3 linked regions of the Coturnix japonica genome follow. The protein of the gene in region 2 purifies or fractionates together with the protein of the main gene of each other region. This does not show direct contact. Links are inferred from orthologs where the notes say so. Each region holds a gene or a part of one and is shown on either strand. Other genes may lie near its edges.

The links.
Region 1: the proteins of SLC30A4 (region 2) and PDS5A purify together in Homo sapiens (affinity purification with mass spectrometry; 3 studies listed by BioGRID and IntAct, counting the BioPlex papers as one, with this or other methods). This does not show direct contact. The link is inferred for Coturnix japonica from reciprocal best matches to the Homo sapiens genes SLC30A4 and PDS5A.
Region 3: the proteins of SLC30A4 (region 2) and FUT8 purify together in Homo sapiens (co-immunoprecipitation; 3 studies listed by BioGRID and IntAct, with this or other methods). This does not show direct contact. The link is inferred for Coturnix japonica from reciprocal best matches to the Homo sapiens genes SLC30A4 and FUT8.

Annotation. Positions count from the first base shown.
Region 1 is NC_029519.1:62,385,716-62,389,471, reverse strand, and holds the start of PDS5A (sister chromatid cohesion protein PDS5 homolog A), read right to left. Parts: upstream 2,606-3,756; 5' UTR 2,434-2,605; coding exon 2,407-2,433; intron 2,312-2,406; exon of another isoform or gene 2,295-2,311; intron 1,596-2,294; coding exon 1,425-1,595; intron 1-1,424. UniProt on the Homo sapiens protein: Probable regulator of sister chromatid cohesion in mitosis which may stabilize cohesin complex association with chromatin. May couple sister chromatid cohesion during mitosis to DNA replication.
Region 2 is NC_029525.1:9,470,894-9,473,521, forward strand, and holds part of SLC30A4 (zinc transporter 4), read right to left. Parts: intron 1,204-2,628; coding exon 1,069-1,203; intron 434-1,068; coding exon 279-433; 3' UTR 1-278. UniProt on the Homo sapiens protein: Probable proton-coupled zinc ion antiporter mediating zinc import from cytoplasm potentially into the endocytic compartment. Controls zinc deposition in milk.
Region 3 is NC_029520.1:20,165,673-20,169,328, reverse strand, and holds part of FUT8 (alpha-(1,6)-fucosyltransferase), read left to right. Parts: intron 1-251; coding exon 252-428; intron 429-3,169; coding exon 3,170-3,320; intron 3,321-3,656. UniProt on the Homo sapiens protein: Catalyzes the addition of fucose in alpha 1-6 linkage to the first GlcNAc residue, next to the peptide chains in N-glycans.

The sequences.
Region 1 (3,756 bases), on a different chromosome or scaffold from region 2:
TTTGCTCCCATTTACCATCAGTCTACAGTCTTGAGGTCAGCAGAATTCCTTAACAGCACTTGGTAAAGAATGAGAAAAGAACAGCTCCTCTAAGCCTGAAAGTCACATCTGACACACAAACAGGCAAATTCAATGAGATACATATGTATGACTTGGAATTCCTACTATTTGTTTTCTAGGATGGCATGGCTCACCAGTACAAGTTCTCCCATTAGAATAATAATAATACCCGTTTATCGTGAAGGTTTCAAAACTGCACTCCTGCCCATCCCACACGCTCTTTGATTCCAGGTCTCTGTCCTAACACAGCTCTAGGTTCTTCTGTAACAATACCCCACCGCAGTTTTGAAAACACCAGGTTCGACTCTTGCATTCAACAGACAAATTTCCCATCTGTAATTGGACGAGGTCAATTTTCATTCATTTCAATTTTCAAACAACTGACATAGGCCCTGGCTGCACTAAGAGCACAGAACGGTGCCTACTGTTTCTTCACATTTATAGTTCAGGCGCTTTCCACTGTGCTGAGCGACTGGGTGAGACCTCAATTTCTATCTTTCAGTCTTTGAGGGGATATGATTGTGATGGGAAACACATCAGCAGATAAGAGAATATTTCTGTTCTCAAAAAAACCACATCTCCACCCTGGGCACAACAATATTCTGGTCCAAAGACCATGGTGCTAACAAATGAGCTGTGCTAGTATTTGGTCAGTGCTTAATCTTCTCTGTTTTTGGCACAGTGTTGAGAAATAGTAGTACTGTATCATAGCATTTCATGCATCTATATGAAAGAAAACCTCACAGTCCTCCAGGATGCTGTCAAACAAGCAGAAATGGTGTGTTTACAACAATGATCCCTTTTGCTTATGAAAGTCTAGCAACTTTGACAAGCACCAGACACTTGAGTTGTATTAAACTGCAAAATATGATTAATTTTTACATAGGAATCAATTCCAAAGCTCCACCTATGAATTTCAGAAATTCACCTTCGCTAGGTATAAGCAATGCTGTCTTTTTTGTCCAGAATACCCTAAACTAGACCTGATTATTTTCCCCCACCCCATTGAATCTTGCTCTGCTGGAACCCAGGGATACCTCCTAGCTCATCAACAAATAGACTGGCAATATATCCTGAAATTAGCGATTATGACCCCACTTCAGAACCCCCTCCAACACCGTGGATGCATTTCATGTACAAATCAGCAGTTCTCCATATTGATTCCAGCTTTGAGAGAACACGTGAGGAAAGTCACCAACTAAACAACAATTCCTCCTATTTTGGATACAAGCAAGGAAGTAGCATTCATACGAATGTCTGCGGGTGGGGAGACATTTCAGCTATGACAGGAGAACTCGGGCAGTCCTGAGACACGTTTACTGTGCGAAGCAAAAGTTGCAAGAAGAGGGGCCAGGCCGGCCTACCTTTAACCGTTTCACCACCTCATCGTTGGTAATTTTGTCGGTGATCTCCTTCACTCCGGGCGGGTAGTAAATGATTTTACCATCGGCGGCGGGTTTTGGTTGGGCAGCCGGGAAGTCCATCCTGGCGCCGCTGCTCAGAAACTTTCCTTCTGCACAGTCCTCTACCGGCCTCTATCGGTCAGAAAACAAAAGTTCAGCGGAATGGCACCGACTTTCTAACCCTCTTTTTCCATTTCGAGCCCTCAATTCGCAGAAGGCCCCGGCCCCCGCCGCGCCGCCCGAGCCCCCGCCGCCGCCCGGCCGCATCCCGCCGTCCCGAGGCCGGGCCCGCCGCCGCGCCGCCCCCCGCCGCCCCGGCCCCTCCGCTCCCCGCCGCCGCCTCCTTTCATCGCGGGGCCGCTCCAGCCCAACACCGATAGTTGGGAGCCGCCGATTTTACAATGAAATTTCGGCCCCGATCGAAGGATGCCCCGGCCCCCGGGGACGGCGGGCGGCCGAGGCGGGGCGCGGGGCCGCGATGCCCGGCCCGCAGGGGGCCGAGGAGCCGGCACGGCGGCGCGGAGCCGGGAGCCGAGGCCTAAACAGTTAGGCCTCAAAACTATCGGGAGGCAGAGGAACCAACAGGAGAGGGGGGGGGGGAAGGAGGGAGGCGGCGGCGGCGATCGCAAACAAAACCCCCCCGCCCGCCCCCGGCCCCTCGCCCGGCCCCCCCCGGGCCGTGGGAGCCCCCCCCGGGGCTGGGGCCGGGCCGCTCGCCACTTTCCGTTTGTTCCCGCAACTTCACGGCCCAGCCCCCCCCCGGCCCCGCCGCGCCCCGCCGCCCCTCACCGCGCGCCGCCGCGGGGCCCACAAAGATTCCCCCCCACACACCGGGCCGGCCCCGAGCACGGCTCCCCCCGGCCGCGGGGAGGAGGACGAGGAGAAGGAGAAGGAGGAGGGGGGCGCGGGGAGGGAGGGACGCGGGACGCGGAGCCGCCTTTACCTCACGCAGCTCCGGAAGGTGCAGCATGGAGCGGCCTCCACGCCGGCCGCTCCTCGCCGCTCCGCCGCCGCCCCGCCGGCCGCTGCCCGCCCGCTCCCGCCGCCTCCTCCCTGCGCGGCGGTGCGGCGGCTCTGCTCGGAAGGGGGAGGGGGAGCTGCTCGGTGGCGGCGGCGGCAGCAGCGGAGAGGGGGAGGCTCCGCCGAACGCGCGCCGCGGGGACACAGTGCCGCTCTCCGTCCGGCCGGGGAAGAACAGCCGGGAGGAGGCTCCGCGCCGCGCCGCGCCGCCCCCTCCTTCTCCCCTCCCTCCCTTCCTCCTCCCTCCGCCCGGGCCCGGACCCGCAGCGCCGCCCAGGCGGGACGAACCCGGCCCCGAGGCGGGGTGAGGCCGCCAGTAAGTCGCGGAGCCGCACGCGGGGCGATGTGCGGGACGGGCCGCCTCGGCGCTGCCTCACGCTTGGCGCCTAAAGCGGCGCAGGGCCGGGGGATCAGGGGCCGGGGGATCAGGGGCCGCGGGATCAGGGGCCGCGGGCTCTGGCGGATGGGGCCGGCCGCTCCCGCCTGCCGAGCGGACACATGTCGGTGGCTGCGCTTCAGGTACCGCTCGGCCCACGTTTCCGAAGTGGGGATGGTGGCCGGGCTGACCTGCGTGGTGAATGGAGGAAGCGGTTAATGGTGGCACTGTGGCACGGAATGGCCTTTCTCCAGCCGGGTTTGCATCTGTGTGTTGACATCTGTGTGCTTTGCCTTTGCTGCTGGCAGATGAGTTTCTCAGAATGGGATTTCCGTGTATAAACCTCCGGCAGAAGGTTTATACCTCTGGAGGTGCAGACTGAAGGGGCCTTGCCACCACCCTCAGGGATTCCTTCCCTGTAAAAGGACTATGTACTGCCATATTCCTTCCACTTTCTGATATGTCTGGAAAGTCACTGACAAAGCGGGATCTATCCATCCCTTTTTGGCCTGTGTTTTAGGCCATGTGTGTCCAAGTACAGGTGTCCAGGAAGTACCATCCATTTGCTCATCCTGCTGATAATTCATGGTCACGGACCAGCTCTAAGTGTCTCATTTGCAGGACTGGCTGAGGGCACCAGAGTTGTGTGGAACAGAAGGGAGGTGATCCCTGCCGCTTGCAGGAAGGGTCCTGCTGCCAGGTTATGGGGAGTGGCAGGAGCATGAGGAGCTCTCAGGTACTTCTGGATCGTGTGGGCAGGAACTGAACTTTCTAGACTCATGCTCTGTTTCCTGCAGTGTCTTCCTGGATTGAGCTGGAAGCCTTTGGTGTCTGCAGCCTATGGAAACCAGCTCTAAAGGATGGTAGTGAAAATGGCTGAGAGCTGTGGGAAATGCT
Region 2 (2,628 bases):
TAATTTGTGAGGTATCTGCAGAACCATGTTGCAGTTTGTAAACAATCTGAAAACAACTTTGTCTCAAAACCATAATAAGTTTAATAAACCAGCACGAGGGAGAGAATGAAATGCTCTGTAGGGCAACCACTGCGCTTCTTGCAGCACCAGTTCTCCCTGCTGCGTGTTAAATGGTACAAATCCACATGTTAATTATTTTTATCATTCACTTTGAATTTATTGCTCTCAGTCTTTGACAACAAGATAAAGAATAAGGCAGCAGTTCCCAAAACATGAGATTAGGCACTGGAACTCTGACAACTTGCACAGGTCTTGCTTGATTCCTGTTTGTAACTCTGAAGCTGGACAGAGCACTTGTACATTCCAAACGTGTTCAGCAGCAGTTGTCTGGCCTTGAACTGAACTTCCTCCCATTTAGATGAGCTACCAGGAACTGGAAAAACCAGGAAAAGATTTCATAACATTCAATCCTTGATAAAACTGGACAATCCATCTGTCTTCGTATTTACCACGTGATCTCACCAACTCTGATGTCTTTATTCAAACCCTCTTATCAATTGTCTATTGTTCTGTGACTGTCATACATTATATGTATTATTTTACATCTTTATCTCTTATCTAGAACTGTATCTTGGTAAAACTGTCCCCATTAAATAGGGTTACAGAGAAAGCTTTCCTCTGATACACCTGATGTTGTGTTAGATGTCAATATCAGCATGTTTTATCCATGAATCAGATCCTTCCATAAGGGAATTTCTGAAGGAAAGTACTTAACGCCATCAAATAGGAAAAAGAAAATTCTGTACTGGATCAGTATGGGACCAATATGCCTCAGTATAAATGTATTTTCTTTCTTTCCTAACTTCCATTTACACTTTGTCCTTATGGGTTAATGGTTTCTATATCTCTCTGTACAAGAGCATAAACAATAGATTATTTTTCCCCCCAGAATGCTATTTCCTGGATGTGAGTATGAATATAAAGATGAGAGATAAAGTGCTTTGAGTTTTGTCATCTTCCCCACCCCTGGCTGGACTGAACCTAAAATTATGCCATATAGCAGCTTACCTAATTGCAAGTGGACTATGGCAGCTGTTTTTCCTGCAGTGAGAGACCAAACATTTAAATCTTCTATAGAATAAACATCTTCAATTTTCATCAAGTCTTCTTTAATACGATCCACATTTAAATGCCTCGGAACTCCTGTGATACCAAATATAAGATAAAATTAACTGTCGTTCTCAAAGTCTGTAGTCTTCCAAATAAAATGTCACGACAACTTTCAAAACATTAAAGGGGTTCATTGTCTGCGCTGTTGGAAGCATTGAGTAACTTTAAGTTACTGTTACAGAAGAACATGTAGATTGGGATATTGATTCCAGTATGGATACTGAAACAGTACAGGAATTACACTGCTGTCTCAAATATAGCTTGTCCATTCCAGAATCCAGTCTTCCTTCAGAGCAATGTTCTTCTATAGATACAATTGTATTATAGCTCCTAGTCCCTAATAGCTGCTTAGCTCAAACACTTCAAGAAAAGTATAAATCATTATGCACATAATTAGGTTTTCAGCCTGAAAATCTTTGTTATGTTACCAGAACTTGACAAAAAAAAGGATACATTTTCTCCTTCTGAATCGGTTACATTTCTGAATCAGAACTGAAAGACAAATCATTGAAGGTTTTCACCGAAATAAGTATTTGAATAATCTTCAGGTGAGATACATCGAAGTTGGGTTTGTTTCTGTGTGGTTTTTTGCTGCTGCTTTTATGGTCTTCAAGAAGCTGAGATTTTGCTTGTTTACAGCGAGGAAACTGAAATGTTATCTCAGAAGGGATGCCTTAAGAATGTCTTATGTATTTATATATATATATATATATATATATATATATATATATATATATATACATATATTTCTTGCAAGCCCATTCTCTGGAGCTACTGAGTATTAGTTGGAAGAATTACCTAATACACGCTAAGACCATCTTTCATCACATTAATAACATCATTAATTCAGATATCTTGATAACAGCTGGGATACCTATGCAAACAGGTGCAACTCAAACATCTGGAATTCAACACACCATTAGTTCACCTTATCTGTTCAGCTAAATCTCAGATGTTGCCTTGGAGCTAAATGAGATTTCTTAAGTATATTTTACCACTTTTTGCCTTTGCAGAGAAATTCCATTGTCCTTTTTTTTTTTTCTTTCCCTAAATGACAAAGAAAGCACTTGGCATTGAAGGTTTTGAGATTTTTGATTGCAGAAGTCAGCAGTAATTCATATGGAACAGATGGGATGGTGCAGCTAAGAACCACGATTTTTTCTTCTCACCCCTACGTGAAAGTACCAGATTAAGCAGTAACATGGGCAGATTAGTTACAATAATGCAAAGAATGTTGCTGATGTTTTTCCCTTTAAGTCACCACAAGAGGACAAATGATAAGCTTATCTATGTTCTGCTGCTGCTTTTCTTTGCCTCCTTCCTTTTCACGCTGCTTTTGATTTCCAGTTTTAGCTGACGTGTAGCAATACTATCGCATTTGTGGAAAAGGGAAAAACAGGTCAAACATGAACCACGTGTCCAGATGTTTTGCCTGAATTTGTCTTTTCCTTTTACATG
Region 3 (3,656 bases), on a different chromosome or scaffold from region 2:
ATATATTGCATTCAAGAGGAGGCTGACAGTAGACTTAATATTATTAAAAAGCCTGATATATGTTTCAGATTTTGCAGTTAATTTCTCAGTTCAGCATGTCTTGATGGATATCAGTGACTAATTCTAATTGTCCCTTGTTTTATGTGCAGGTTCAATTTGCAGCATAGGCATGAAATTTAAAGTTAAAATTTCACTTACTTAAGTATGTGTTGTGTTTGTATGCTGAATTCCTAATTTCTGTCCTTTTCCAGTGTTCATGTTCGGAGGACAGACAAAGTGGGAACAGAGGCAGCATTTCATCCCATTGAAGAATATATGGTGCATGTTGAAGAGCGGTTTGAACTTCTTGCTCGTAGAATGCATGTTGATAAAAAGAGAGTATATTTGGCTACAGATGACCCTTCATTATTGCAAGAGGCCAAATCCAAGTAAGATGAACTATGATTGTATTACAGTTTGTTTCTTCTAATTACTGTTTACAGTTTCTGGCTATTGTGCGCGCAGGTCTTGGTACTGTTGTTTTATGATCTTTTATACAGCAAAGAATTTCAACTTCTTATGCTTTTTATTTTTCTCTTAGAAAGTCTTTTTATGGATGACTTTATATATATATGTATATATGTATATGTATACTCACCACATAAAAGATGTTGTTTTTTTTCATTCTATCAATGAATAAATGTAAGGTTTATCTTTTATGTATGTGGGATTCTTGGTCTGTATCATTGTCTTGATCTCTTTATTGCTCTTCGTCTAATAGCTCTCTAGAATGTGGCTCTAACAAACTTTCCCTAGCTCTCATAGCAAATGTAACTGTTCAAACCTGTGAGTGCATGTATGCATTCATTTACTCCTAATACGGCCTGTGTTTTCCCAAACAAACTTGTTAAGTTCCATAGTTTGGTAAATTTTGCTGAGTTGGTAAAAATTTCTGTTTAATACAAGAAAGCAGATGCATCAAGGATTAATAACATTCCTTCAGATGTTTATGGCATATAAACAATCTTACAAATGCTTATTGCCCTGACTGGAAAGTAGGATAAGTACTCTAGGTGTATTGAATTTAAATGCATTTGCTTCAGAGTAGTAGTGCAATTTAGCATATTGTCATTTTCAGTGCTATTTATTTGTCTCTATACTAAATAGCTCTTATTTCTACTTCCAAAACTTTTTCTTTTGTGCAAAAGAAAGGGTTTTTCTATTAAGCAGGGGAATGAAAACTTTTTTAAGACAGAGGTAACATGAGAATGGCAATACCTGAACTTGGTAGCACGGTTGGAAAAATATTTAAGATAACATACTGGATTTTCTTTGTGTATACAGGGTAACAGGAAAGTGTTATTTTCTAACAGGAATTATTTGCAGCCTTGCAAGCCTGTGTATTTAGATTTTGTGATTTGTATTTTACTTTTATATCTGTAAAAAGCTGCTGTTTAAAGTTATGGAGTTCTGAAAAAACTAAATATGGTGGCATTGTATATGTTTCAGCTGTGGATGATGGAAATCTAATCTATCCTTTTTTTAATATATATAGACAAGAACAGTAGCAGAAACAACTAGGGTAACATAACTTTTAAAGTGCAGATTTGAACAATGAAAAGACAGGTAATACAAAATTTAGGTTGTAATATTTAATGAATTCACATAATCACAGAATTGTAGGGGTTGGAAGGGACCTCCAGAGATCGAGTCCAAACCCCCTGCCAAAGCAGGTTCCCTACACCAGGTCACACAGGTAGATGTCCAGGCGGGTCTTGAATATCTCCAGAGGAGACTACACAACCCCCCTGGGCAGCCTGTTCCAATGCTCCGTCACACCCTCCAAAAAGAAGCTCTTGCACATATCCATGTGGAACTTCCTATGCTCCAGTTTCTGCCCCTTTCCCCTTGTCCTTTCTCCACAAACTGCTGAAAAGAGTCTGGCCTTGCCACTTTGCCCACCACACCAGAGATATTTATAGACCTGAATCAGGTCCCCTCTCAGTCTTCTTTTCCCAAGGCTAAACAGACCCAGTCCACTTAGCTTTTCTTCACAGGGGAGATGCTCCAGGTCCTTCACCATCTTTGTGGCCCTCTGCTGGACTCTTTCCAAGAGATCCCTGTCTTTTTTGTAGTAGGGAGCCCAGAACTGGGCGTAGTACTCCAGATGAGGCCGTACCAAGGCAGAGTAGAGGGGGAGGATCACCTCCCTCAACCCGCTGGCCATGCTTTTTTTAATGCACCCCAGAATGCCGTATTCTATATATGCTATATTCTGATTTTCTTTATTAAACCCTTAAAGAATGATTAATTCATAAAAATATAGTATTAGCTGACTTTACTACCTCATGTAATAAAGTGCTTTGTAGTTGCAATGAGTTTTGAAAGCTGTATTTAAATTGTTTTATAATTAGCCTAATAGTGTGGATTTGTAGTTGGCATGTTAGTAACGCAAGTTGCATTTCATGACTGAAATAAAATGGTACAGCAGTGTAATTATCATCTTTGTTGCATCTTTGTAGAATTTTTCATATAAAACTTCCCTTTGTTTGGAGGCTGTTTGCTTAATCCATGCTACTTTCAGCCATTTATTTCAGTTCCTTTGTAAAGGTTAAAAATATCCCGAGAAAGACTATTCTCCTTCAAGGATTTAAAAATATGTTGGTTTTTTTTTTTTGTTTCAAAGTCATAGTTACCTGTTAAAAACTTCTGATTTGCTTAATGTTTTTAAATTGCAAAACCTGTTCTCCACAGAATCTTAACTGTGAAAAACAGTTTCCTTTTAAATTTAGATTAATTTATTTAACTTGTCCCTTTAGAGGTGACTACTTTCCTTGCATGTCATAATAATCAGTATTTAGTAGTTTAGTAAGGACAGTCCTGTATTCCATTTAGTAGTAGAGAAAGCTAAATGTGTACATTTCATGTAGAATCAGTAGGATTAACAGAATACAGCATCCACTTCCTGGTATTTTACATTCATATCTTTGACTTTCTTCTTATTTAAGTTCCTTTTGACAAATTGAGGGTATGCATGGTGTAATATAATGAGTAGTAATATTCTAATAATAAGTAGTAATATTCTAGAGTGTAAAGGAGAGACTCACATTAACTATCTTATCTTACAGCAAAGATGATGTTTCTTAACACCACCAGACTCTACTGTTAATGGTGTATTATATTTTCATAGGTATCCAAATTATGAATTTATCAGTGATAACTCCATATCTTGGTCAGCGGGACTTCATAATCGATACACTGAAAACTCCCTAAGAGGTGTTATTCTGGATATCCACTTTTTGTCTCAGGCGGACTTCCTGGTCTGTACATTTTCATCCCAGGTAAACTGCAGTATAAATACAGTATAGAATATATGTACTGGTTCTGAATAGTATAGAATATATGTACTGGTTCTGAATCTTCCTTTTCTTCTTGCTTCTGATATCTTGGTCTCAGTTCTCTCTGATGAAAATTTCATGGGACTATTGTGGGTTTTTTAATTTTTTTATTTTTAATAATATGTGAAAATTGAGATGACTTAGCACTGGTTGATTACTTCTCCCCTATTGAAGTTATTGGCTTAATTATGGCATTTCAATTAAGAAAAAAAGTTTTCTAGTTTTACATAAAGTTAATATATAACTTGTATATTTGTTTCTACACAGCTTAGTTAAGGC